Linked DNA regions of Oryctolagus cuniculus. The protein of the gene in region 2 purifies or fractionates together with the protein of the main gene of each other region. This does not show direct contact. Links are inferred from orthologs where the notes say so. Each region holds a gene or a part of one and is shown on either strand. Other genes may lie near its edges. The genes, in order: TENT5C and FNDC3A.

The links.
Region 1: the proteins of FNDC3A (region 2) and TENT5C purify together in Homo sapiens (affinity purification with western blotting; 3 studies listed by BioGRID, with this or other methods). This does not show direct contact. The link is inferred for Oryctolagus cuniculus from reciprocal best matches to the Homo sapiens genes FNDC3A and TENT5C.

What each region holds. Positions count from the first base shown.
Region 1 is NC_091438.1:52,804,400-52,819,207, forward strand, and holds the start of TENT5C (terminal nucleotidyltransferase 5C), read right to left. Parts: upstream 9,821-14,808; 5' UTR 9,563-9,820; intron 1-9,562. UniProt on the Homo sapiens protein: Catalyzes the transfer of one adenosine molecule from an ATP to an mRNA poly(A) tail bearing a 3'-OH terminal group and enhances mRNA stability and gene expression.
Region 2 is NC_091440.1:68,350,785-68,365,431, forward strand, and holds the start of FNDC3A (fibronectin type-III domain-containing protein 3A), read left to right. Parts: upstream 1-4,760; 5' UTR 4,761-4,801; coding exon of another isoform or gene 4,802-4,839; 5' UTR 4,840-4,865; coding exon 4,866-5,027; intron 5,028-5,348; exon of another isoform or gene 5,349-5,627; intron 5,628-6,047; exon of another isoform or gene 6,048-6,301; intron 6,302-14,647. Other genes in the region: uncharacterized protein, read right to left, coding at 1-18, 4,579-4,760, 4,802-4,839. UniProt on the Homo sapiens protein: Mediates spermatid-Sertoli adhesion during spermatogenesis.

The DNA.
Region 1 (14,808 bases), on a different chromosome or scaffold from region 2:
GTCTTCCCACACACCTTCCACACAAGCTTGGTGTGTGCCACCTCACACCGACTGCCACACAGTCCTCACAAGCACCCTGAGGACGCTACAACTGCCCCTTTCCCACAGGTTCAGGAATAAGGTTCAGACAGGATCAAGTGCATCGACCCCAAGTCCTCAAGCCCAGAGCCAGCACCCTAAGTCTTGGAGCTGGTGACTCCTTCCACCCAGTGAGATAGGTATGGAGGATGGCAAACAAATGACACAAACCCACGCGTGCCCTGGAATGCCCGGACCTCGCTGCTCCTGGAGTGATCTTTTCTAAAACAGAGCTGTCATTGGTGGTACCCAAAATAAGAGAAAAGCAACCTTCTGCTGTCTATAAAACTACTGCCCCTTGCTTCCACCACACACACCAAAGACAGCCTGGTGACAGTCACCCTTCAATGCCTACTTCTGTGCAAATCCTAGGTAAGCGAAAGATGCCAATGGGGCTTGCAGGCACCCTCAGGGAGACACGGGGAAAATGCACCCGCGATGCTGCGTGCAATTCCTGCTCCTTAAGGAGGCTGCGCACCAGGGTTTCGTAACATAAACAGCTAGTCCTGCCCACATCCTTGTCCCACAGGGTTCATGCTAGCACAGATGGCGTTAGGCTGAGCCCTCCCAAGGCTTTGAGCATGGTAGCATCCATGGTCACGGCCAGGGGAGGCCTACTGTCCCACCATGAGCTGTGACAGCCCGTGTCCCAAACACCCAGGGGCTCTACCTGGAACAACCGCTTCGTTCCTACAAACACTAAGGGGAGTGGGGTACCATGATGACCCCTTTGCAGATGAGGAAACCTGGGAATGGGAAAAAGACAAACAGAGGACTGGCCAATTGGAAGTTGTCCAAGGACACACGGTCAGTGCGGGGATGGCGTCCCAGAGGCTTGCTGGGAGGCACATGGCTTTGGTGTCTGTGTTGGGTGGGAGAAGGCTCTGAAGGAAAGCTGGCTGCTCAGGTAGTCCTCTCAAGGAGGTGGCAAGCAGCAGAAGGAAGAGGGGGATGGGGGTGGAGATGTTTAATGAGAGGATCCCGGGAAGGGCTCAATGGGCTAAAGCCACAGAGTGTGGTAAGTCAGACAGCACCAGCAGATGCCGAAGTCTCCAATGGCTGTCCCCACCCAAGTTCCCTCTCAAAGCCATTACGGATTTTACTGTCATGCCACTGCTGTGAAGGAGCAATGGCTGGGAGGTGCAGGCCCAGGATCCCACCTTCCGAGGGAGCCCACGGTGCTGGCTGGCTCACCTGGCTGCGGGGATTCCAGAGACAGCAGGTCTAGAAAGGAGAGCGCCCAGGAGTGCAAGGAGCCGGGAGAGTCAGCGAGCCGAGCAAGCCTTACGGGAAAGCAGCGACGGCACAGGAGGAAGATGTTTAGGAATGGGCTGATCCTAATCAGGAAAACCAAGACAGCTGCCTGGCTGGGCTTGGGCTGGGAGATCAGCAGTGTCGATCTGCTGACAAAGCCACAGCGCAGGACGCTCTACAGAGAGCAGGGCAACCTTCTTGGCTCAGAGAAGCCATAACCTGACGGCAGATACCGAGGGACGGTGGGGACACCTGCACAGGTGACCAGCCCAGGAAGCAGAGCCGGAGCAAAACAGAAAACAGAAATGGCCTGTGACTGACAGCTGGACTTGCAAATGCTGAACTGGAGACTGAACACCTGTTACTTTCTCCACCTGCATGGAGTTTGACCCTCAAGACTCTTTCGGCCACAAGAGAAGGGCCGGGCGCTGTGAATGACCATGGGCACGGGCCCCACTGCTTGACAGAGGCGGCAGCAGATAAGGGAGCAGACACAGGAAAGCCAGGGTCGATGTAGACTAGACCTGCTCAAGAGAAAGCCTCCCTCCACTCCTTGAACGCCTTGGAGGGTGAAGGCCAGAAGTTATCTAGGACCTGGGGGCAGCCTGAGGAAGCTTTTTGTCCTCACCAGGCCTGGGATCCAACAACAAGGAGAGGGCCACACTCTGGAGACTCCTCCACGCCTCCCCCTCACCCCACCACACATTCAAAAGTTACAGATAACAGAGGCACACACGTGTGTTTCATGTACACCAAGTTAGAGCTTAGATTAGTAGACGGCCCAAGGTAACAGAACCAGACAAAATGATTTTGTTTTCTCCCAAGAAGTTATTTTTACATTGGCCCACTCAAATACCCACAACACGTTCTGCCTCCACTCACAGAGTTCTGCCTTCCACGCCAGAGTTGTAAACCACCTCTAAGTCAGGGCACACGCGCACACACACACACACACACACACACACACCCAAGATGGCCTTTTCTCACGCTCAGCTTGGTCACATGCAGCTGGAGGTATCAGTGATTTTTCTCAGGGTTGTCAACAGCCTCCCAGCCACATAACAACTGCTGTTGACTAGACTCAAAAAATTTGGTTAGATTCCCACGGCAGAGTTCTGGACGGAAACCGAGGTGAGCCACAGAACAGAGCGGGGTGGCCCTCGCTGTGCTCCAGGCTCTCAGGGTCACAGGAGGGGGATTCCCGAGCTCTCACTTGCCACTAAGGCCCACGAGCAGTCTGAATGGTTATCAGTGACCGGGCTCTAGCCACACACGCCTGCCCGCCTGATGACGATGACAACTCCCAACAGAAAGCTCTTTCCCACCTTGCAAAATAGGATGTCTGGGCAAGTGTGGGCGGAGAGATAAGGCTGGGAGAACTAACACTGCGGTTGCAAAACCAGCCCCAAACCAGAATCAAAACACTGGCCAGCTATTACCGCAGGCAAGTGCAAGTGCTGAAAGAATACCCTGGAGCGGCTGCAAATGCCCGTACCAACATGATCGCAACCAGACAGCTTCCAGTGGACACTGAGCATAAAGCGCCGATTTTCTTCCCCAACATTTCAGCCTTCAGTGTGAGACACACACACTGGAAAGCCTGGCCCCCAATCCAATGCTTCTCTCCAGATCAGCGATGCCACTGGTCTGAACTTACTTAAAGACTTTCCCAAACAGAGCCAGCCCTTCTGTTTTAGAGACAGACGAGAGGGAGGAGAATGGGATATTGCTGGAGCCGCAGGGTTTAAGAGCTAAGAGCCAGCAGAGTTCAAAGGTTTCATCCACAGGCTACCTGGCCATCTAACTCTCAGGCTTAGAGCCTCAGACGGTGGCCAGTTGTCCCCAAGTAAGACTGCAGCTGGCTAACAGTCCTGTCTAGTCACGGCAGCATCCCTGGGCCTTATCAGGAAAGGGACAAACAACTCCTCGGTTACTCAAAGGCAGCATTTATCACGGTTTGACACATGGACACACCCGAGTCACAAGCACCCAATTGTGAGCTGACCTCAATTCCAGTGCAGACGCCACTTCCGCAGGCAGTTTCACGGGGTTTGTGTTTTGCTTGAGGGTTAACAATCACGCAGCAGCAGCAGTCCTGACCTCCAGGTTCTCCGGCATGGAAGTGGCCCGAGGGGCTGAGGGGCTCAGAGGTCCCGCGGACAACATTAAAATAAGGCTAATAGAAATTTGGGTGGGTGGTGTTAACAGGAAGGAGCAAACCACGCGGTGATACCTATTTCCACACCAACTATACCCAAGGTGGTCAAACCACTTTGTCTTTGGCGTTCAAACATGTGGAGGCACTGGTCATGCGTGCACTTCCTGATGATGACTGCAAATGAGCATTTACCAAGCAATTAGTGTGTTCCTGTCACTAGGTCTCTCCTAAGTACCTGTCACTTGAAAGTCACTTCCTTTTGCATTTCCATTCAAATGTTAAGCGTTGATGAAATGTAACTGTTTGGCGTCCTAGGTTCCCTGCCAGTCTCAGAAAATTTTACCCACACTCCTTTGAAGCTACATTCCTTATAGCTATCCTTTAAAAAACTAACAAAGCAACAGAAGAAGCACCAGATCAGGAATCAAACATGCTGTAGTTTGGTGTCCAGTCTGACTCACAGGGCAGATGAGTATCAGTAAGTCAGCAACAGTGGCCCAACTTTCTGGCAGTCTTTCACCTATCTGTGTGCTGCCTCCATTCCGAGCACTGTTCTAGGAGCTCATGATACAGCAGCAAGTCAGAAACAAAGATCCCTGCCCGTGGAAGGCTTGCATCGGCTCATTCTCTCTTCCCAGGACTCAGGGCTGTGGAATTCTTGACTTCCACATACACATGTGGAATCAGAATTTGAGACTAAAATGTTTTTATACCATCTAGACCTTGGCTGCCAATATGATAGCCATGAGCCTTGAAATGCAGCAGGTTCAAATAAGTGCAGGGGCTGGCGCTGTGGCGTAGCAGGTAAAGCCACTGCCTGTAGTGCTGGCATCCCATATGGGCACCGGTTCAAGTCCCAGCTGCTCCACTTCCAATCCAGCACTCTGCTATGGCCTGGGAAAGCAGTGAAAGATGGCCCAAGCCCTTCTCCCTCTGCACCCACATGGAAGACCCAGAAGAAGCTCCTGGCTTCAGATCGGTGCAACTCCGGTCGTTACAGCCATCTGGGGAGTGAACCAGCAGATGGAAGACACCTCTCTTTCTCTCTCTCTCTGTAACTCTGCCTTTCAAATAAATAAATCTTAAAAAAAAAAAAAAACAAATAAGTGTAAAATACACACTAGATTTCAAAGACTTGGTATGAAAAAATAGAAAATAGCTCATTTATATTTTTATATTCAAATCACAGTATTTGATATGGTAAACAGACCCAGTAAGATGAATTCCACAACTACTGGAAGGTTCACTGTGCTTCTCCTGTTTCTATTGGTCTAGGCGATTGCCCTTATTACAATGAAGACAGCGAAGCTTGAAGAGCCAAGAGTTCCGCCAGGACCAGAACCCAGGTCTCCCCACAACTGAAGGCAGCCAGCCGACAAGGCAGCGAGGTGGGGGAATAAAGACTACAAAGGGCCTGGGCAGGGGAGAAGCAGCCGTTACGTGGTGTGAGGTTCCCAGCACACGGAACCAGAGCTAGTTCCTAGCTGAGCAACCCTGGCAAGCAGCCAGACACAGCGCAGGTGCTCAGCTGGCAACGCCTTTCACCTCCACCCTTGGATCAGCACACTTCCAAAAAGTGACTCCATGTGATTGACAGAATAATGTAACACCCCCAGCACCAGGCAGCTGCCGGAGACCTAAACGCTCATCTTGGACTCTGGCAAGCAGAGGGCAGGGATCAACAGAGTGTGTGTGGGTGAGGGGTAGGCAGCCGGGCTAGGTGGAGTGTTGCCTTCTCTCCTATCCTTGTAAGGGCTAAGCAAGTGGAGAGGGCAGGGTTCATGCGTCACTCTCTCCTCAATAAGTTCTTATGGAGGAGGTGCTCAACACAGACACAGGTAAGGAACTTTTTGTGCTCATCTCATGGAAGACAAAAACCAGAAAATCAGGTGCCAGGCACAACGGTACAGAAGTAGTACTGCAGAGGAGAGGCAAGGGGACAGGAGCCATGGCTTCAGAAGCCTGTGCGAAGGGCCCAAAGCTGACCCCCATCACGTCTGGGGAGGAAGGGGGAGTGGGTACTCTGCAGCTAGGGAGGGCAGGCACAAGACGGGACAAGGGAGGTCAAGACAAGAGTGAGAAAGGAGGCTCTGTGTTATGAGGAAGGGCAGCCCCCTTGAGTGGCTGCAGAGGGTCCTGGGAGCCTGGGACAGTGGAACTGGCCAGAGGCAGAGAGATGTGCTGGGCCAGTGCTCTCAGCAGGCAGCTGTCCACAGGCCCCTAAACCAGGTCAGTGATGACAGTGGGAAACCAAATATAAAAGAGAGAAAGCATCAGCAGAACGAGCAACTGAGTGAACGTGGAGAGAGACAGAAAGGCTGAGCGAGCCCTGGGCGGCTGGGGGCGGGACAGCCCGGGGAGGCTTCAGGAGCCTCAGCTGTTGGCCAATTAGCAGGTCTCGGCCCTGGGCGCCAGACCTATACCCCTGAGGCCTCCAGAAAACCAAGACCCAGAAACTGCCCTGCACTTTAGGCTGGGGGCTTTGGGTCCAAAAAGGTTCCCTCCCATGCCTCGGCCCACCAGGAAGACGCCCACCAAAAGCACGCCTCCTACTCCGACAAGGAATGGCAGGGGCGCGCCCACAATCCACACGACGACACGGGCAGGCTGGGGTTCTCAGCAAGCATGGACTTCCCCACTGCCCCTGACCTGCAGCTCACTAACGAGGGCAAACCGAGCAGCTCCAGGGCAGGATTGAAGTCAACCCAGCTCCTCTCTCGCACAGCGGCCCGCGGAGGCTTCCGCAGGCCCTCACATACCATTGCCTTGGCCTCCACTGCACCTGGCACAAAGCGCTGCCTAGGAAGCACTTAACCACTTACTGCCTCCAGCGCTGCGACCCAAGAGGAAACGCTGCACACTCGAGTGACCAAGCCTCCAAAGGCTCTGCGGCTGAAAAACATCCCACGCGGGGGGTTGCTTAACAGCAGCAGTTATTTCTTCATATTGGTTCTTTCCTGTTGTTCCAAGAAGCTCCCCAAGCTCCGCAAACAGTTTTAGAACAGGCTACGGGGCCAGCTGCACACGATCTATTCATTGGAAACAATTCACAAGGCTCCCATACAGAGTTGGGCTATGTAATGACAATTCTCCCTCCAAGTCATATACATTCCAAACACAAGCTTATTTATCATGCAGGCAACGAAAGGGTTAAAAGAAAAGTTAGAGCACTCTTCAGTCCCGGAAATATCATAAGATTATCAGCACTGTTGATGTGCCCAAGTGGCTTTACAGATGGGAACATTTCTCTGAATTACAAAGGTGCCCTGCTTCATCGTAATACGACTGATGACAATTCAGTGTGCCACAGCCAAAGCACCAAGACCGCAGAAGACATTATTCTGTGCTGCCCTGCTGACTTCAGTGACAACATAACAAAGCAACAGACTTTATCTAGCCACACTCACGGTTTTTCCGAAGTGACACTTTAGACTCTGTATGGCTCCTTGTTAACCACAAAACTAACACTCTCTCTCTCACACACACACACACACACACACACGAGCGATACAACTGCAAGTCAGGTGCAACACCACGAAACCCAAACACAACAACACAAGTTTAATTTAACTCGGGGAACTAGGCCTCGGCTGCCTCATCCTCCCGCAGTGATGAACAAGGTTCAGCACATCCATTCAGAACTCCTGGGTCGTCCTCCTTCTCCGGCTGACTCCGTGAATACAACGCATCCAAGATGAAAAGGGAGGACCCCGGTACTACCTACTGAAGCAGGAAGAAAAGAAATTAAAATAGTTTTCTCATTGTGTCTCAAGTGTGTCCAGTGAATAGTAAGAATAAGGGCACGATGGTGCACTTTTAAATTATCTTTGTTGCCAGGCTGTTCCTTGGACTTTCAGAAGCATGAGGAATTCTCTGTTCTGATGGGTTGTGCAGGATGTACATGGTCTGCCCTGACCTTGAACACAGGGCAGGATGGCTAAATATGTGCACTGTTGGGAGATAGGGCTGGGCGGGGGAGGCAGGGACTCAGGATAAGGTGACTCCTGTGGTAGCAGGACAGCTGGAGAAACTAAGCAGGGAGAGCTGGTGCTCAATCAATAACATTCATTCTGTAACACACACACAAAACAAGTAAACAAACAAAAACCCAGCCAGGCCCTTTCCTTCAGAGGTGCATGAATTTAATCTCTGGATACAAGGCTACTATTGTGGAACAAACTCCTCGTTAGGAAGAGCATGGCTGTTAGTTCTGTGTGCACACACCAAATGACTTATGAAATTAGGGACCTTCCTTTGGTAACTTAGATGCCTCCTGATAGACTTTTTTTTTTTTTTTAACTGTGGTCTTCTGGGGACACCTCCTGCAGCTCCCTGAATAATTACACACAATATACCAAAATCTTCTCTCCAAAAACTGCTAAGACAGGAGCAGGTGTATACTCCAACAGACAAGGTTTCAGGGACCTGAAGTACACGAAGCTTCACCCCAGAGATCATGTTTTGCTTTTTTTTTTCATTTGCAAAGCAAGAATGTCAAAGGACAGAACCACCACTGCCCCAGCCCAGACTGCCTGCCTCCCTGCCAGCAACAGAAAAGTCAGCATTTTAGTCCCCACCCTGCCCCCCCACAACTGCAGGGTCTACGGGGCGGGGTCCAAGTCCCAAGTCGGGCTGGAAGACACGGGGCAGTTCTTGGTAAGCTCCTCCACCAGCTCACGGTGCCTGGCTGCCTGCCTGCCTGGCTTGCTTCCTTGCCAAGTTACTCACGTTGAAAGGTCGGTGCAGCCAACAATGGCCACCCTCATCCTCCCAGGAGGACAGCCAGCATTTAATAATCTGAGCTTTCCGTCCTGGGGTGCTTCAGGACTCCAACCCCTACCCACCATCCTGAATGCCAAGTGGTTACAATACAAATGCTTACACACATAGTCTTTATGGAAATGGGCTGCAAGTGCGCTTCCAGCACTTCCTCGTACTCTTGTCATACAAGCTACAAGCCTTTTTTTTTTTTTTTTTTTTTTTTTTTTGAAAGCAGATCCGCACTTAAAGAGCTGGTCGGAGCCTGCAGAAGCTTCTCTCTCTGGGCACACGGGGAGCCGTCCCTCTCGGTCCGGCTCAGCCCCAACAGCCGGCGCCACGGACGACCGGCGCGTTTCTCCAGGAAGCCTCGCTCACTCCGAGGAGGCGCGCTCGGGTCTCCTCGCTGGCGCTCGCGGCCTCAAGGCGGACACCTGGACTCCGCAGGTTCGTCGCTCTCCTTCGCGTCCCGAGATCTCAGCGCCAGGAGCCCGGGACCGGGACACCACGCGGGGCCCACGCGCCTGGAGGCCAGCCGCTGCGCCGCTATCCAAGTCCGCAAGACCCGTCGGGGCTTCCCGCCCACGCGGTAAGCAAGTTTGGTTTCCCAAAGGGGTAAGAATCGGGTCCCGCAGACGCTTTCCGAGAGACACGCGCGCACGAGCCCCTCGCTCGGCTCCTGGGCTGCCCTCGGTGTGTCCACGGCGGACAGCGAGTCCACCGACAGTCAAGGCTGTCCCGCCCCTCTCCGTACAGCCCAGACCCTGGCTCTGCGCCCAGGCAGCGCCCCGCCCCTGCCCGCAACTTGCAAGCCTCGGACCGCTCCGTCTCCAAGTGCGCCCGGCGGAACCGCCGCGTTCGAATTCGCGCTCGGCCCGCCAGAGCCCGCGGGAGCGTAGGGGCGAGCCCGAGACCGCCAGCAAGGCCAGTGCGGTGGGGCCTCCGAGCGGGCCCGGAGCGGGCCCGGAGGCGCTCTCGGCGCACTCCCGGCCTCCCTGCCTGCGCCTGCCCCGCGGGACGCGCCGAGCAGGAACTCGCTCCACTTTGCCAAGCCCCGGCCGCAGTCTCCGGAAAGTTGTAGCCTTCTTTCTCTCTCCGGGCGGGCGGCCGAATCGTGGAGGGAGCAGGAGGCGAAGGCAGCCCAGGACTGGGGCACCTGTCCGCGCCTCCACTTCGGTCCCCGCTCCCCGCACCTGGCTCGACCAGGACGGGCGCACCGCTCGCTAGGGGCGGACCCCCGAGGGCCGAGCGTGCGGTTCGCCCCGGCCGCCGCGGCACCCGCGCACCTTTGGAGGAGGGGGGTCGGGGACTCACCTGGGCGGTGGAAGAGGCGGCGACAGAGGCAGGTCCTTGGCGTGGGCAGCCCCCAGCAGGAGCGGCGCGGTCACTGCAGCCCCCAGGCAACGGCACCGAGTGAGCCGTCCAGCCGCCGCCCCCTCCGTTCTTATACGGCCTGGCCACGCCCCCGCCCGCCGCCGCGGCCGCCGGGCCCCCGCCTCTAAGCCTGCCCTCCTGGGGGAGCCAGGGGCGGGGCGGGGCCGGCGCAGGCCCTCGGGAGGAGTCGGCCGGCGCGCTGACGGCGGGGGCGGGGCCGGCGCTGCCCTCTGATTGGCCGCTCGGGTGAATGGTTGCCGAGAGACGAGTAAATCTTCTGCGGCGGGGAGGGGCGGGGCGCGGCGCGGCAGCCTTGCGCAGGCGCAATAGAGAGGGGCTGTGTCTGCACCCCTGACTTCGGCGTTTGCCGGGACGGCTCTCTCCTTTCTGCCCTTCCCCTCGCAGGGTAACTCGACCCCCCCCCCCCAACAAGCTTCTCCCGCCTCCAGTCCGGTCCCTTGCAGCCTGCCTCTCTTACGTTTCTCCGGGGCTTTTCGCACTGGTCCCCCTTCCTCCAGCAGCGGACCATGAGGTGCCCATGCCTGCATCCGGCGCTGTGCGTGAAGTTGGAAGAAGTGTGGCTTGAGGGCCCTGGGAACCTTTGGGATTGCGCAAGCCCCGCTTGGCTGGGGCTGGGGCTGGGGTGGGGGTGGAGGCGTGGTCACGGGGGCGCGGTGGGTGAGCAGGCTGCAGGGCCCACCTGTGGGCAGTTACTGGGCTTGAGGGCCTGGGGAAGCCGCGGCCAGCCCCGCACCCGGAACGCCTCGGGGCTCAGCCGTGTGTGTTACATAACGTGCGGGCGGGGCCTGAACGCCGTCCATTCACCCGCAGGGGGCGGCGTCCAGCCCAGGGCCAGCATTCAGACTCGCTGGGGTTGGCATCTCCGTTCACCACCAGCGTTAAGGCCCTGGGTGAGCAACCTAAAGGACTCTCCACAAGCCTCCACTTCCTGGCTGCAGGCTGGGACCCAGCCTGGGACGGCTTCGAAGGGTCGGACTAGTGCTGAGTCGGAGCTCCCTGGGTTTGGAAAAGTTGATCAGTGCAGCGTCTGGTATAAGGTGACCCCGTGGCGAATGCTGCTTATATCTAATGGTAGCCGTTATTCATCAACAAACAGTCGTTGAGCTGGTTTTCATCCTCTAGTAGCTGCGGAGGAAAAGTTGCAGTGTCTCCTTGCCCTCACCTCCCCCCATGTCCGTCCCTGCCTGAAATGCGTATGGTTCTCAGCCGCTGACAGCAGGCTGAGTTCTCAGATCAGTGTCTTCCTGGGAGTCCCCAGGAGCTGTAATGGGATAGGACCGCAGGTTGAGGTGCTTGTAAGAAAAGCCACAGTGGCCCTATTGTTGGTCCCAAAATGAGGATGTATGGTCTGGTATTTTTTCACCGTTTTTGAGGAATAGCATTAAGTAAAGTGCACAAATCGTGAAGTGTGCAGAATGATGATTTTTTTACACACGTGTGCAGCCACGTACCTGCCACCCAGATCCACATACAAAACCGTGAGGTTCACTCTTGTGTCTAACAGTGGCTCGTTCTTTTTCATTACTCTTTATTACTTCATTCTATAAATATTCGGTCATTTGAGTTGCATCAGATATTGACTTTTCAGGAATGAAGCGGCCTGAACACTCTTACACGTCTTTTGGTCGACATAGCAAAATCATTTATGTCAGTTATACACCCAGACTGGAATTCCTGGTTCCTGGAGTAAGCCATGTGAAGCTTTAGATATATTGCCAAACAGTTTTCTAAAGTGGTGTAACAATTTATGTTCTAACCAGTGATGTGAGATTTCTCGAAGCTCCACATCTTTGCCAGTATTTGTACTGTCAGTCTTTCGAGTTTACGAGAAGGGAGGAGGGGTGTGTATTTCATTCTGATGTAAATTTGCATTTCTCTGATGATCGATGATGGTGAACAACGTTTTAGATGCGTCTTGCCATTCTGGCACCTGTTGAATGAGGTCTCTGTTCAAGGCTTTTGCCCATTTTGGGGGAGGTGTCTGTCTCATTGATGTGTAAGAACTCTGTATATTCTCAATACGGGTCCTTTGTCCAGGGCATTATGTATTACAAATATCTTCAATCAACCTATGACGTGCTTCTTATTTTAATGTTATCATTGATAAACATAAATTCTTTTTTAAATTTTATTTATTTTTATTTGAAAGGCAGAGTTACAGAGAGGGTGAAGCAGAGGCAGTTAGGGAGAGAGAGAGATCTTGCATCCTCTGGTTCATTCCCCAAATGGCCTTGATGACTGGAACTGGGCCAGTCCGAAGCCAGGAGCCAGGAGCTTCTTCTGGGTCTCCTGTGTGGGTGCAGGGGACCAAGCACTTGGGCCATCTTCTACTGCTTTTCCAGGCACAATAGCAGGGAACTGGATTGGAAGTAGAGCAGCTGGGACTTGAACCGGGGCCCATATGGGATGCTGGCACCACAGGTGGAGGCTTAACTCACAATTGCTGCAGTGCCAGCCCACAACATAAATTCTTAATTTTAAAATTTATGAATCTTATTTTTATGACTAGTATTTTTATGTCCTGCTTAAGTCTCTGCCTATCCTAAGGCCAAAAAGAAAATCTCCTTTGTTTTCTTCATTGCTTTCACTTTTTCTATCTATAAGGCCTTGGGTCAGTAACTTAGCCATCCTTCCATAAATTATCTCCAATCATAAAAAAATTAATACAGATTATTGCATTGGCTTTGGCCATTTCAACTGTTTCAGTGCCTCGTGGATACAGTTAGCACAGGTGGCCTCAAGGTAGAACACAGGGCAAAAAGTCTTAGCCTAGAATTTGACCTAGCACCTTTGCTTGGCTGAAATTGTTCAACTTTCTGAACAAAATTAGGCAATTATATGGTGGAGAGATCGGGAGAACCTAGCGCCAAAAAGAAATTCATTATTCATACACAGGCATAATTTTTTTCCTTGGGATATTCATTATTTGACTTGTTTTTAGATTTTGGTTTCAACTGTGTGCTTTTGCTTTTTTTTTTTTTTTTTTTTTTTTTTTTTTTTTAATACAGTCTGTTCTTTCTACCTCATAAAACCATGGCATCCTGGAGCTGGAAGGAGTATTAGAAAGTACCCACGTCCTGCCTATCGGACAGGACAGGGAACCAGATATTGAAACTGTCCAATATACTGTGCCTCCTTGCCAAATTCCGGACCCTGCTGAAGCACTTGCAGTCAACGTGGTTTAAAAACCTCTACATTCCCGGTGGTTCACTGATTTGCACCTGGGAAAGCTGAGTGAGAGAAAAGCATTAAGGTCTTTAAGATGCAAGCATGCCTCACTTGTAGCAGTGGCCCTGAAAAACTTTGTTGTTTCAAGAAAGAAGTTTTGTACAGCGCCTAGCTGTGGCCTGATTTATCAGTTTCTTAAGTCCTGAGTGTTTGTACTACTGTATCTCAAGGTGAATCACCACTGTAGATGTTTATTCAAATACCCTTCTCTAAACATCTTCTTTAAACCAATTCTTAAGTTTTTTTATCAGTGTATGCAGATAAGGGCACAGTGTATAGAACACAGCTCAGTGAGTGTTCACAAACTGAACAAACCTATGTTACCGGCACTCAATCACAAACAAAGTAGCATCAAAGCCTTCCCTGGCAGATTTTAAAACCACCACAGAGGCACTGTCTGTGCTCTGGTGGGGCCAAGACATGACTTGGCTTTCTAATTCCCACCAGCACTCTCTCCAGGAAATGCCCATCTCTTCTCGGACTTCCTCAAGCAGTATTCTTGGGTGTTTCAGAAAGAGAATGAGATTCAGAGAAAGAAAACATTAGCCTATTTTTTTTTAAAGACTTATTTATTTTATTTGAAAGATTTACAGAGAGAGAAGGAGAAGCAGAGAGAGAGGTCTTCCGTCTGCTGGTTCACTCCCCAGTTGGCCACAATGGTCGGAGCTGCACCGATCTGAAGCCAGGAGCCAGCAGCTTCTTCCCGGTCTCCCACAGAGGTCCAAGGGCCAAAGGACTTTGCCATCTTCTACTGCTTTCCCAGGCCGTAGCAGAGAGCTAGATCAGAAGTGGAGCAGCTGGGACTCGAACCTGCACCCATACTGGATGCCAGTACTGCAGGCAATAGCTTTACCCGCTACACCACAGCACCAGCCCCAGAAGACATTAGTCTTATTTGGAGTTAAGTCCCAGAATGAATGGGAGGCAGGACTGGTTGGATTTGGTGGGAAAGAAAAAAGGGGGAGGTGGATCGCATCTATGGGCACAGCTCTGGCAGCCTGGCAGTCATGCAAAGACCCTATGAAGGGAATAAGACAGGGCTCCAGGAAGGAGGAGGGGGCATGGGTGACACTGTCAGAGAAAAGAAGAAGTCAAAGGTAAACCATGTGGACTTAATCGCTGCCCACCCACCCTGATGGTGTGGCTGTGGAGAAAGGGGGTGAGTCTGACTGCTTGGATCCCTGTCTCAGCCACAGTGCAACCTCGGACACAGAGCTTAACCTCTCTGAGTCTCAGCTTCCTCCTGCACAAAGGGGAAAGACAATGGCCAGGAGCCTGCTGCTTGGTGGAGGTGTGCGCTCATCGAGTAAAGTCAGGGATGCAGGCGAAAGCAGTGGCCCCGTTCACAAGATGCATCTCTTTGCCCGCCTTGTTCCCTTCTCTCACTGCGCTGTGGGGACAGCTTGGCAAGCAAGGTGGATGAGAGCAGAGGAGGGTCAATTGTCAACATCACACAGTGCTTGCCTTCTCTCCTAGGGCCCCAGAGTTCTTATCTGAGGAGTAACGTTTTTCAAATCTCCCTCCTGGTGAAAGGGATTCCATGGAAGTGTGAACTGCTAACCGATCATACCATATCTCACGAGTAACCATGGAGTCCACTCTGAACTTGCATTATTCCGAGATCCAGGCCGTCTCACTGTCAGCCTGCCCCAAGCCCTGAAACTCCCAATGCTGGAGCCCTTTCCAGTTAGGGCAGAGCCTCCTGCCATTGCTATGTAGCCTGCCTAACTGCCGGTAGCACCTAAATCACCAAGCAGGTGTAGCTCTCAGTTCACGTATTGCCCAGGCCTTGTAGGAGACTGGATTCTTAGTTGCAAAGCCATCAAATATGGTTCTGGCTGATTTCAGCAAGCTGGAATTTAAAAAGCTATGTCGAGGAGCCCACAAACTCAGCAGGATAGCTGGAGAACATGACCAGTTGGCTCTGCTTCCAGGAA
Region 2 (14,647 bases):
CCTCTTCCAGACTTGCACCTAAAGAAAGGACAGCGGCAACAGAATTCTCTTTGTGTTCACAGTGAGGACCCCAGTGCTACTTGGATGATTCGAGCAACACAACTCCCCTACCTCAATCTACTGTCCCATCTCTCTCCTTTCATCAGCAAACTTTTCCCTCAAAACGTTCTACAAGACAAATCTCTACTTTCCATTTGACTTCTTCATCTGTCCTCTCTCTTCAACCCATATACTTTGTCAAGAGCTGTGCATAGGCCATTGTTGTCGTGCAGCAAGTTGGGCTGCTGCTTACAATGCGAGCATCACATAACAGGGCACTGGTTCCAGCTCCCTGCTGATGTGCCTGGGAAAGCAGCAGAGGACCGTCAGAGGATTGGGCCTCTACAGCCCACATGGGAGACTCGAATGGAGTTCTGGGCTCCTGGCCTGGCCTAGTCCTGGCTGATGTGGCTATTTCTGGAGTGAACCAGAGGATGGAGTTATCGCCTTCTCTTTGTGTCACTCTGCCTTTCAAATAAATAAATCAGTCTTGAAAACAAAATAAAACAACTGTGAATGGTCTGAGATTTTTATTGTCCTCCTCCTTGCCAGCTAACAACTTACTAATAACTTATGGATGGGTCAAAGAACTGTATTACTTTCAGCATAGCAGCTGGCAGCAGTGTCATGTTCACCCAGGTTTCATTTGGAGCAATGAGTGGTTCCACCTGCAGTAGATTCCTGTCACAGTTAAGAACCCTGAGCTTAAGAAACCCTCAGTCTTTTATAATGGGAGACAAGAAAACTTATTCTAGCCTTACCTCAGAAGTAGCATTCTCTTTATTATATTGGATGGTAAACAGATGTGCCCTCTGCTCTGGCGGGGGACATTAGGTCTATTTTCCAAGGCTGTTTGCCAAACAAAAATCCTTGAAGAGACAGTCTAGAACAAAAGCTATTAGTGCCTCTGTTCACAAGATGTACAGATATATAAAAACTAAGGAGAACTGTCTCTCAACACTTTCCCGCATCTCTTCCCAGTAATCATACAAAAAAAAAAAAAAAACACCACTTCTGAAAATGATCAGTTATCCAACAACCTTCTAGAATCCTGGAAGAGACCTCAAAGAATATCCCTGAATTGTTCAGTAGTAATTGGGCACCTTCTACGTGGTAGGCACTGTGCAAGTCAACACAGACATAGTCTTTGTCCTCACAGAGGCAGCAACAGTCATTAACCAAGTATTCATACATTCACACATGCCAAAATGTAATACAAACTGTGGAAAGTCATAAGAAGGAAAGGTAGATGATGGTAGGAAAGTTGACACCAGTAACAGGTCTTAAAATTGTCCTGAGAGGCTAGAAATGTTTTTCCCAAGGATGTCCCTTTCAAGCTGAAACCTGAAGCCCAAGTGAGATAGAAGACAGTTAAAAGGGGGAAGAAAGTATATATATAGAACCTGGGGCTGCTGGGGTCATAGGACATTAAAGAAACTCAAAGAAGCCTGGTAAGTCTTTTGCCCAGGAAGCATTGGGAGATGAGACTGGAAAAAGAGAGTGGGGCCAGACCTCACACGGTCTGAAAGACCACCTTAAGAACTCCAGTCTTGGCCGGTGCCGTGGCTCATTAGGCTAATCCTCCGCCTGCACCCCGGGTTCTAGTACCACTGGTTGGGGCGCCGGGTACTAGTCCCTGTTGCTCCTCTTCCAGGCTCTCTGCTGTGGCCCGGGAGGGCAGCGGAGGATGGCCCAAGTGCTTGGGTCCCTGCACCCACGTGGGAGACCGGGAAGAAGTACCCGGCTCCTGGCTTCGGATGGGCACAGCGCCAGCCGTAGCAGCCATTAGGGGAGTGAACCAATGGAAGGAAGACCTTTCTCTCTGTCTCTCTCTCTAACTCTGCCTGGCAAAAACAACAACAACAACAACAAAAAAAAAAAACTCCAGTCTTATCCTAGAGCAGTGGGAAGCTGTTTATGAGTTTTATGTAAATCATATTTGCTTTTTGAAATATCATTTTTGTTGCAACAAATGAAAGCAGGGCCCGAGATTGTGTACAGTGAGATCAAACTAGATCGGTAGTGATTGGAAAGAAGTGGGCCAAAGACATTTTAGAGTTAAAATTACCATGAGTTGGTGCTGCAACAGATGTGAGGAATGAAGGTGAAGGTGAAGGAGACTTCAAGGATGGCTGCCAGATGCTTGATTTGAACAACTGGGTAGATGAGGGAAATGAAAACAAAGAGTTCATGAACTCTATTGGACTAAATTTGGTAACTTTTGAGACATTATGTGGACATGTCAATGAAGCAGTAGGTATCAAATTTGGAGTGCAGGGGAACAATTTGTACAAGAGGGAAATACATGGAAATCATCATTAGAGATGATAAAATCATTGTGGTGGCTAATGTTGTTTAGTCCACGGGATTACAAAGAAACAGGAAAGAACTTAAATGTGAATTTTGAGTTCTTATGTTTAACAGCTAGAGAGAGATAAGCAAGAGCCTGCAGAGGAATTAGAGAAGCAGTGTCCAGAAAATGCAGCACCAAAGAGACTAGAAATGTTCAAGGACAAATAGTGCTCAAAGTATTGTAGTGATGGGAGTTGAAAATGGCCCTTATTTGATTGATAAGGAAAATGAAGCATTGTGTAGAGAAGTGATTTGATCAAAGCCAACATAACTTACTGTCCTTCTCTGTGTTCCCAGAGAACTTAGACTGGTGTACAAGCTAGGGTCAATTATGTGTATATTTAATTTTCTCCACAGGACATAAATTCCCCCAGTCTTTGCTTAACTGAACCTCATAGCCTACCATGTGGTTGACCACAGTGTCTAAGGCCATTTCAAAGACATCCTGCATTATGCCCAACTCCCCTTCAAAATCGCTGTTCTTGGGCAGGTTTTTAGCCTAGTGGTTAAGATGCCTACAATCCACACCAGAGTGTCTGGGTTCAATTCCCAGCTCCTGCTCTTGACTTTAGTTTCCTGCTAATACACACCTTGGGACGCAGCACTGATGGCTCAAGTTACTGGGTCCCTGACACTCATGTGGAAGACCTGGATGTAGTTCTTGGTTCCTGGTTTGGGCATGACCCAGTCCTGGCTGTTGAGAGAGTTTGGGGAGTGAACCGGCAATTAGGAGTGCTGGCTCTTGCTCGGTCGCTCTCTCTTCTCTCTCTCAGGAAAGAAAACAAACAAATAAAATAGCTGTTCTTCCTCACTCTGCCTATGCATGAATGCCCAGGGACATACATACTTCACTAAAACATTCTTTTTTTTTTTTTTTTTTTTTTTTTTTTTTTTTGACAGGCAGAGTGGATAGTGAGAGAGAGAGAGAGAGAAAGGTCTTCCTTTTTCCGTTGGTTCACTCTCCAATGGCCGCCGCGGCCAGCGCGCTGCGGCCGGCGCACCGCGCTGATCCGATGACAGGAGCCAGGAGCCAGGTGCTTTTCCTGGTCTCCCATGGGGTGCAGGGCCCAAGCACTTGGGCCATCCTCCACTGCACTCCCGGGCCACAGCAGAGAGCTGGCCTGGAAGAGGGGTAACCGGGACAGAATCCGGCGCCCTGACCGGGACTAGAACCTGGTGTGCCGGCGCCGCTAGGCGGAGGATTAGCCTAGTGAGCCGCGGCGCCGGCCCAAAAACATTGTTTTTAAAAATGCTATTTCTTGGCTTCCCTATGAACAAAGAAATCAGAATCCTAAGGGTGGATTATAGGATTCTGTATTTTTATAAAATTCCCAAGTAGGAAGTTTTGGGAATTACTAGCTTAGAGTTGAGTTTGGAAATTCCTAGCCTAGTCTCAGGCCAAAGAGAACTGGGCAGCCAAATGGAGAAGCCACGCAGCTAACCTACACTCTGATAAATCCTCATATTTTAAAACAACATACAATTACACTTCAGTTATTCTAAGATCTGCTTTCCAGCAATTTTGTCTGGAAGAAAGCCAAATTTGGAAGTTTAGGAAAACAAACATTTCTTGCAGGGCAGAAAATTTTGATGGTGAAGAGCTATGAAAATATCGCAAGATACCTTTAATACACAGTCACGCGCCTATTTCCTGACCCGAAGAAAAGGAACGTCTCACTAGCTGTCTACGGATAGAAATATCCCATCATTCATCACCTGGGGCCATAGCAAAAAAAAAAAAAAAAAAAAAAAAAAAAAAAAAAAAAAAGCAGAGAAAGGAGAAAAGAGTAAAAAAAAAATTAAACAGTAAAGTGGAAAGGTTGAGAGGAAAGATCAGAGTGGATAAAGAGGATGATGAGGAAATGACAGATATTAGAAGAGGCGATGAGAACATTCCCAAGGCCATGGGGGGAGGGTGCGGAGGAGCGGAAACCGCACCAAGTCAGGATTTTATAAACCTCAGCATTCCCCTGAGACGTCAGCGTGCGACAAAGGTATCGCTTTTGATAGCCGGCCACAAAGGATTTCATTAGGCATTGTATTCTTTAAGAAAGTAGAAACTACATACTTTCAGAGGTTTCTGTAAAACGGTGTAAAAACATGTTGCTAAAAAAAAAAAAAAAAAAAAAAAAAAAAAAAAAGGCCGCACGCTTAATGAACTGAAAGCCAGACCCGGAGCTGGGTTACCTCTGTCACCCTCACCGAACGGGTGGTTGCTGGGGTGGGACTCCCGTCCCCAGGACTCCCCCTCCCCAGGTCTTCCGGTGGAAACCGCCGGAGCAGGCAGCCTAGACCAGCCCGTGGGCACCGCCGCAGCGCCCCCAATTGCTTGAGGTTTAAGGAAATCTCTGCCGCGGTCCCTCGTAAGTCTTCAAGCTGTTGTGGAAATTAAGGTAATGGGTTTCCACGCGATGTGGCTGCCGCAGAGACCAAGAAACGACCCCACATGTTCTCAACGGAAGCCAATCTTTTAAATGTTTGTGCTTGCTATCGAGATCCCGGGCTCTGAAAGTCTGCGACTGGGAGCATCCAAGCCCTCTTCCGTTGGCTTCGCAGTCCTTGGAGGGGTTGGGGGAGTGTCTCCACAAGCACCTGCCGGCGTTAAATTCTGGTGCTTTCGGAAAGGGGCGGACAAGGTGCGTGTCGAGAGGGAGCCTTTTTAGAATGTGGGTTGAGTATTGAGCGAGCGGCCCTAGGAACGTCAATGAACTACACGTTTCCTGAGTGTGGCTCGGAGCCAGGCGCAGCCGGGCCTCGGGAGAGAGGGAGACGGAGCCGCGAGTCCGGGGCTAGGTGGGCGCTCCGGGAGCGGCGCGAGGGCGCTGGCACGCCACGCGCCGGGGCTCCGCGGGGACTCGCACCCCGGGGAGAGACCCGCGGCGGGCGCGGGGCGGGGGCGCGGGGTCCCCGCCGGCCCGGGGCGCCGTCGGCAGGGCTCGCGCAGCCGCACTCGGCGCGCCGACCCTGGGCTCCTCCTCCCGGCTCCGTAGTAAGCATGGCGGCGGCGGCGTTCGTGGTCCCTCGGGTGAAACAGAAAGCGGGAGCTACGCGGAGAGGCAGCGAAGAGCGAGGCTGAGGCAGCGCCGTCACTGCCGGGAAAACAACCCCAACAGTCGGCGCGCCGGCGGCCCCGAGAGCGGGCTCTGCCGCTGAGGTAGATCGCGATCGATCAGGAACCCGAAGAGGCGCCAGGGGAGCCGCCTTCCTCTGCCTCAGAACGGCGGCGTGACTCGGAGGTGAGAGCGCGGGCGGCACTCCCTCCGCGAAAGGCGGGCGACACTGAGCCGTCCCAGCCCCGTCCCGCCCCGGAGCTGGCGCCGCGGAAACCGTTAGGCTGTGGCTGAGGGCCGGGGCGCCCGGCGGGGCTCGGCCCCTTCTAGGGCGGCCCGGCCCATCCCACCCCGACCTGCGGGCTGAGGGGCACGGAGCCGGGGGCCGGACCCGTCTACTAGTCGGGCACCTGTCGGGGCCGCGCCTCGCCGGGGCGAGCCTGCGGGGGCGCGCGGCGGTGCGGGGGCGCGGGCGGCCCTCCCCCGGGGCCCCTGCCTCCCCCGCGGCGGGCAGCGCCGCTCCGGAGGGTGTGCGGGGCGGGTGCGGAGCCCTCTGGAGGGGATCGCCGGGCGCTAGCTGCGCCGCGGGGCTTGGGCCGCCCGGCAGCCGGCGACTTTTCTGAAGAGAGTTCCCCTCCCACCCCATTCCACCCCCGGCTCACCTTGGGGTTAAAACCTCGAAAACCCGCCCTTCTGTGTTTGATCTGTGTGGCTGCTGCCAGTACCCAGCCGTTCCTCTCCCCAGGTGAGTTAACCACCTGTGCAGTCGGGAGGTGGAAGCGAAGCTGCAGCCCTCGCCCTGTGTAACCACCTGGATCTTTGAACTTTTGACACGGCTTTGGGAGGACGTCATGTGTTAGGTAAAGGAAAATGGGCAGATATTTTCTTTATCAGTTGCGAGTAGAACAGTCGCTGTTTTAATGAGCGTAGTCGTTGATCGTCTCTCTTACTAAACTGTGGAGTTGAAAAGCCTTGGGCTATTTTAGGGGGTGTGTGTAATGATTGCTGGGGGTGCTAGGGGTCGTGAATTAGATATTTCTTTCGTTTTTTTGGGGGGGGGGGCTGAGATTTTATGTAAGTTCCTTCGAAAACCTTGATATGGGACCACCTGTTAGCTAAGAATAGCAGGTATAATCCTCGGTCTGTGTTCCCGATGGCTTTTAAAACAGCAGCCTAATATTTTGCATCTTACTGAGGTCTGTATTTTTAGTTCTTGAAACCAAAGTGTGTGTGTTTCTGTATTATAAAAATAACATAACAGTTGCACTCTTTCTATAGTATTTTATCACTGTGCTGTTACCAGTACCAAACATATGCCACTCAGGAGTTTGAGCCATATGTTAGGCAGAAACAAAATGAGTTTTGGGGCTGTAATCTTGTGTTTGGATAAATATTTAGTTTTTGTGTATTGGCTAAAACTGTAATTCTTGCCATCTTGTAAGTTTTGTTTAAATCGCCTAAAAATGTTCAAGAGAATTGAGTCCTCTGCCTGCTTGATATTTTCTTTGAATTAATTTTTTCTCAAGTGTTGAGATAGAGTGTCACTGAGACAGATGGTGGGCCTAACAGAAATAGTGATAAAAGGAGGATTTCTGACGTGTCTTTTATAAATTACAACCCCAAATTTTGCTTTTAGCATTTTAACCTGCTAATGATTCTTGCTTTCACCAATAATATCACTGATTAGTGGGAAAAAGAGATGGTGACATGACAGGAAAAATCTTGTTAATGTTTTATTAGATTTTATATTTAGAATTTTGAATACTATCATTAAATTTTACTGTGTTTCACTTCATGGATCATCTCTTAGTTTTCCATGTGTAGGTTAACTAGAAAATGGTTTTATTCTGGGCTGGCCACCTTTAGCCACCTGTATGCTTCTGAATTCCCTCTTCTCCCTTTTTGTCTAAATCCTGCAAATCATTGAATACTCAGGAAAAATAAACTCCTGATTACCCCTGGCCTCAGTCAAGCATAATTATAAGGGTAATTTGCTTCTCCCAAATTAATGATATGCATTTGAACAAACAGATTTCTTTGGTGCCATCTGTGTTGTCACTTCCTCTCTTCATGTGAGTAATTAAGAGCAGATCTATTTTATTTTGCCATGCATTTTAAGGATAATTTTTTGTCAGATGCCTATGATATGATATTGAACTTATTTTTTTTTTGCTAATTAAGAAAAAAATTTCCATCATCCCTAACCAGACATAGGTAAGGGCTGAGAGATTATGTTAAAAACCAAGGGAAAAAAAGGAATGTGTGATTAATATTCGTACCATCTTTTGTGACTTTCCTTAGGCAAAGAGCATTTAATTTATAATCTATCCATTTTAAATTTAGGCTTATGAGTATTATTTATTCTTGTTTAAGAACATTTATGTTTGCTTATGTTCATAATTCAAAACTTGTGCCCCTTATATTTTACCTGTATTTTAAATACAGTGTGATAAACTAACCAAATGATTTTTAAAAAAATTCTTGGTTCATTTTCCCAAGAAAACAGTCTAGATAGAGCCTTTGAGAGTGATGTAAAGATGTGCATGTAAGTGCCAGTGTTATTAGCCAGGTAAGCAAAAGATAAGGATTGCTATTTATTTTCTTTCTTTCTGTCTTTTCTTTCTTTTTTTCCTCCTTCTTTAGCACTCTGTAGCAGACTTCAAATAAATTCACAATATGATAAATGCAGAGATTTAGAATACTGTGCATATCTACTGCGTTGAACTTTATCACATTACAAAACAAGAAATATGGCCCCTGTGTGTGTCAGTGTCAAGAGCTGCTTGTCTAAGGGAAATTAATGGCCAGTAGTATTGCAAGGCAGATTTTACTCTTTTACATATATTGTGAGCTTTTATAATTTTCTTAATATTTCTGTTAATTTCATTTCAGAGTGTTAGTCGGTTGTCTCTCTCTCTCTCTCTCTCTCTCTTTGGAAGATTTATTTATATTTGAAAGGCTGAGTTACAAAGAGAGAGGGAGGGATAGAGAGCTTCTCTCCACTGGCTCACTCCCCAAATGGCTGCAACATTGGAACTCCATCCAGGTCTCCCATGTGGGTGCAGGGGCCCAAGGACTTGGGTCATCTTCCGCTGCTTTCTCAGGTGCATTAGCAAGGAGCTGGATATGAAGTGGAGCAGCGCAGGCCCAGTGATATCTTTTTAATCTCTTGATTCTTACCTTTCAATCCTCCCACTATTTTGTTTTTCTTGTCTTCAATCTGTGCTATCCTTTTTAAGTTTACAGTGAAGTCGATGGTTTTCCATCAGTTTCCTTTATGGTGTCATCTTGATATATTTTCCATCACTTGTCACAGATTACCAGTCCTGAGGCTACTTTTTTCTCCAAGATAGAGAAGTGCACTTGGGAGGTGGCATCTGCTCAGAGGATGATGAGACATTACAGTGGAGATAAAAAAGCAGTATAATGGGTTCTCTCCTCCAAGTACTTTATAAAGTAGTTGGGGATACTAGACTAACAAAGTAGCAAACAAGATAAGATGGTTTTATTAAAGTTTGTGCTGCCATCTTTAATGGGAAGTGCAGTCAGAGAGGGCTAGAAGAATCTTAAGAGGCATTTTGAGGAAGTCAGACTTCAAACTTAGGAAAGATTTATGTGGCAAATGGAAAATTGTTCCCTAAGAGATTGACAGGCTGAGTTGGAAGTAGTAGAGTATCCAAGGACAAGTATTACAAGGAAGAAAAAAATTAAGTTAGGTAGAGGTTTTAGGTAAGCTGTGGGACTGGATCAGAAGAGGAATAGGCAAGGCTAGACAAGACAGCTTGGCTGTGTCATTAGGAACTCATCACTGAAAAAAACTACATCTACTTTGACATATTAATAGCTTAAGTTCTGTGTATACTGGATAGCTCACACATACTAGCTTAGGTAGCTTAAATTAGGGGTTGACAAATTTTTTTTCTGTCGAGTATTAGATGATAAATATTTTAGGCCTTGTGGGCCATTTACAGTCTCTGTTGAATATTTGTGTTTGTTTATTGTCTTTTAAAAATATAAAAACCATTCTTAGCTCAAGGACCAAACAGAAACAAGCTGTCTGTGGGCTAGATTTGGCCTGGGGCTCAGTTTATTGACTCCTGGCTAATAATTGGCTAGGTAATAGTCCTTATATACATATTGTTGAAGCTTCCTCTATTATTTGGTTTGTATGGTTGTTTGGTGGCTATTACTGTGTGTTTTCCTTATGTTATACTAAATATAAAGAAAATATGCTAAAATAAGTACTAGTCTTATTATTTTGTGACCAAACTTCTAGCAAGAGTCTAGAATAGATTTTAGAACTAGGAAGTGAAGGCCGGCGCCGCGGCTCACTAGGCTAATCCTCCGCCTAGCGGCGCCGGCACACCGGGTTCTAGTCCCGGTCGGGGCGCCGGATTCTGTCCCGGTTGCCCCTCTTCCAGGCCAGCCCTCTGCTGTGGCCAGGGAGTGCAGTGGAGGATGGCCCAGGTGCTTGGGCCCTGCACCCCATGGGAGACCAGGAAAAGCACCTGGCTCCTGGCTCCTGCCATCGGATCAGCGCGGTGCGCCGGCCGCAGCGCGCCAGCCGCGGCAGCCATTGGAGGGTGAACCAACGGCAAAAGGAAGACCTTTCTCTCTGTCTCTCTCTCTCTCACTGTCCACTCTGCCTGTCAAAAACAAAAACAAAAACAAAAAACAAAAAAAAAAAAAAAAAAAAAGAACTAGGAAGTGAAAGAAGAAAAGCCTTTGAGTCAGGCCTTATGGCAGTGAAAATAGCCACAGTGGTTTGATGCAGAATTTGTATAAGATTAAGTATATTAACTGCCTGTGTTAGTTTTACATTTTTTAGAATGACAGCTATAATTTCAGAAGCTATGACTTTGGGTGCTGTTAGTCTGTGAATAAGAGCAAAGGAGCAGGAAGTAGGGAACTTTGTTTTTGAAAGTAGTTTAGGATGATTTAGAGAAGGGGCAGTTGGATAACATCCTACAGTAACTCTGGGAAGAGTCACTATGTTAATGGAACAGCCTGATAATTGATGTTTATATTGATGGGTTTGAGGCATCAGAGTCATATTATCAAAATGCAAATTTGTACATCAAAGTATAGATGAAGGCAAGGAAGGAAAACCTAGAAATTTCAAACATTTCCACTAAGATCAGTGTAAGATAAAATATGGCAATTTAAAGAATAAATGTTATTTTGAAAATTCATTTATATGAAATATCACTTCTAAGTTTGTAAATTTATAGATGTGTAAGTCTAAGGTAGTTCTATTTCCTTCATACACTGCTTCATGTACCACTACCAGGTGAATTGCAGTGCTTCAGGTATGGCTGCATGAATCAGTTGGCCAGGGTTATACTATATTTTGTGGTATCAAGGGAGCAAGAATACAACATAAGAGCATTCTTTTATTCAGTGGACATTGCTAAATACATTCTGTATAACAGGGTAAATATTGGGAACCGGATAAAGTAAAGATGTATAAGATGGGGAGCTGTTTGGATAGAATCAGTGGTGTTTCTTTTCTCCCCTTAAAAACATTAAAACCAACCAAACAAGCAAAACCACAAAACCTAAGCTAACTTTTGTAGTTTTACTTATTACTAGTATTTTCCATGTTTTGTAACTGTATAGATAATGCAGACTTTTTAAACTGAATTTTAGCCTTAATAAACTGCTACTTAATAAAATTTTTTAAGCTTTGTGCTTTAGAATAGTTTTAAATGTACAAAAGTTGTGAAGTAGTACAAAGAGTTCCCATTTACCCCAAAAAACAGCTTCCCCTAGTATTAATGTCTTAAATTAGTATATATTTGTCACAATCTGTAAACTTAATAAAATATTTGACTTTTTAAATTTTGCTTTAAGGGGAAATAAACACTTCATGCTTCCCCTTCTCCTTTTGTCAAGCTTGAAACATCCTCACCATTCCAGCTATTTCTATTTCCTAAATAGGAGATAAAGTACCTTGGATAGTGACTCAAAAGCTCGATCTTAGTTCGAACTTTGCCACTTTTTGATGATTATTTCAGGTTAATTTTTTTTCATTCTTGGTTTTCAAGTTGTTAAAATAGAGAATAATATCTGTTTTCCTAGAATGTACTGTAAGGACCCAAAGAGATGTTGAAAATGATGAAGACAATTAAAGTACCATATTAAGTGCTTACATGTGACAATACTAATATGTAAGGGAAAAGTTCTGTAAACATGGTATATTTCCTGTAAACGTTTAGTTTACTCATGTTTTAACTGCTTTCTTGGCAAAGAGGATGTATATAAACACTTTCCATGATCTTTCAGCATCATGCTTATCCAATGCCTTGTCCCTTTTTGCAAGAGAATTCTGATCTTATATTCTAGACAACTTCAGCTATTGTTTCCAAAGCAGGGTAAAAATAGGCAAACTGAATTCCTAATGGTTCTTTTTTTATTTTTTTTCCAAGTAAAGACTATTTCTGTATCTAAAGTAAAAAAAATCCACTTGTTGAAATTTCATTGGATTTTAGGCCCTATACTTGGTTATTTTTAAAATCCTCCATAAGCCTGCCACATATGTGGTATTACTCCCATTTACAGAGGAAACTATACTTGTAATTGACTTCCATATCTCTCTCCCTCACTTATGATCTCCTGTATCTGGTTGTTAAAAATACAGAGTACTGTATACTTTTGAAATGAACATTGATATGAGAGTTACCTAAATCTGATAAATTAGATATTGTGTTAGTCAAATTTCTCAGAAATGTTGAAAGGAATCATTTTGTCTTCTTCAGAATACACATTTTAATATGTGTTTGAACAGAATTTTTTAAATTACATGATTTTTTCATTACCTCCTTCCCTAGTGAATAGTTACTTTATTAGTAACCTTCAGTAACCTACAGCCACATAATTTTGGTGGGGAAAAGAAAATCCTCCTACTTAGGGGATTCTAGACAGATGTTTAAGTACATTTTAAGTTAAGACTTTTCCTTCTTTCATTTTTTTTTTTTTTTAAGATTTATTTAAAAGTCAGAGTTAACAGAGAGAGATCTTTCTGTTGGTTTATTCCCCACATAGCTGCATCTGCCAGGGCTGGGCCAGGCTGAAGTCAGGAGCCAGGAGCTGCTGCTAGGTCTCTCACATGGTGGCAGGAGCCCAACTGCTTGGACCATCTTGTGCTGCTTTTCCCAGGCACAATAGCAGAGAGCTGGATCCAAAGTGGAGCAGACAAGACACAAAACCAGTGCCCATATGGGATGCGGACCTTGAAGGCGGCATCTTTATCTGTTACGCCACAGCACCAGTCCCAAGACTTTTCTTTACTAAGCAATTATACAAGAATTATATACTTTTATAGAAATAGATGTCATGATAATAACTACTTTTGAGATCTAGCTTGTAAAAATAGCCATGTCATTTACTTACTTTTTTGATTTTTGTTTGAGTTTATGAAGTGCCTTTTTATTTTTTTTAAAGATTTATTTATTTAAAAAGCAGAGGCAGAGAGAGTCTTCCATCTGCTGGTTCACTCCCCAAATGGCTGCAACCGCCGGAGCTGGACTGATCTGCAACTAGAAGCCAGGAGCTTCTTCCTGGTCTTCCACGTGGGGAAAAGGGGTCCAAGCACTTGGGCTATCTTCCACTGCTTTCCCAGGCCATAGCAGAGAGCTGGATTGGAAGTAGAGCAGCTGGGACCTGAACCTGTGCCTGTATGGGATGATGGCATGTAAGCAGTGGCTTTACCTGCTACGCCATAGTGCCGCCACCCCTTTTTTATTTTTTTAGTTACTGTTAGGACTTAGCTATTTCTGATATTTGAGGTCATTATTCCTTAAATGCTAACAATTTAAAATCTATTAGTTGACCCTCACTGAAACTAGCCCAGTGTTTGTGACAGAGTAGATTTTGAGTAAAATGTAAGGGCAACTATCCCTGTCACTCATGTTTTAGGCTGCTTCTAGACTGTTTCAAAAATGTGAATTTATTATAATCATTCTCAATTTTAGTAATTAAAATCACATCACAATTCCTGCCACAGCAATTATCTTTTCTGTCTCTCTTTTGAGAGTCCATACTTTGTGATACTTTATGATTATATCATTATTTCTCACTACTTCCCTACTTTGTAGAATATTACAAAGAGTGTTTTGCATTAGGAGACATAGGTTTGTTTCTTGGCCTCTTCCTTCACTGTCTATATATAAACATGGGCATGCTACTTTACCTCTGTGAGCTTTGGTTTCTAAGTCATTTAGCAATGGAGTAAGTAATAGTACTTATCCCTTAGAATAAGCTGTTAGAAGTATTAAATATATAGTTCCTTTATTATGGAACTATAAAAATTGTTATAGGATATTTATAATGTAGCATTTTGAGACATTTCTAATCATTGTCACTCAGGTATCTATCTGATTATTCTTATTTTCTTGTATTTTTTAAAAAATTAAAATGTCATAGATTCTTGGTAGTACATGTTACAAAAATGGTTGTCATACTCCCCTCTAGGAATTCACAGACTAGGATGAGAGATAGATAGGTATTTCTATATAGATAAATAAAATACCTCTTTTCTTGCTTCTTTGTGTGAATCTTTGCCTTTAGGTACCAGTTTGCCATATGGGTTTTTTTGTTTGTTTTGTTTTGTTTTGTTTTGTTTTGTTTTGTTTTGACAGGCAGAGTGGACAGTGAGAGAGAGAGACAGAGAAAAAGGTCTTCCTTTGCCATTGGTTCACCCTCCAATGGCCGCCGCGGCCGGTGCACTGCAGCCGGCACACCACGCTGATCCGATGGCAGGAGCCAGGTACTTCTCCTGGTCTCCCATGGGGTGCAGGGCCCAAGCACCTGGGCCATCCTCCACTGCACTCCCTGGCCACAGCAGAGAGCTGGCCTGGAAGAGGGGCAACCGGGACAGAATCCGGTGCCCCGACTGGGACTAGAACCTGGTGTGCTGGCGCCACAAGGCGGAGGATTAGCCTAGTGAGCCGCGGCGCCGGCCCGCCATATGTTTCTATAATGCCAACTTTGCAATATGTAAAAATGTTAATGCACTTACCATGAAAATACATTGTAATTTATTTAAGTCACATAAATGAATTGATAAATTCGTGAACAGCATATGTCTGATGTAATAAGAGCAAAAAGCCAAATTCAAACATTTATGAATATATATATATACTTTAGTGGCATGGGTAAAAATAATAAGTAAAAATTACTATTAATGCAGATATGCATCAGTGTAT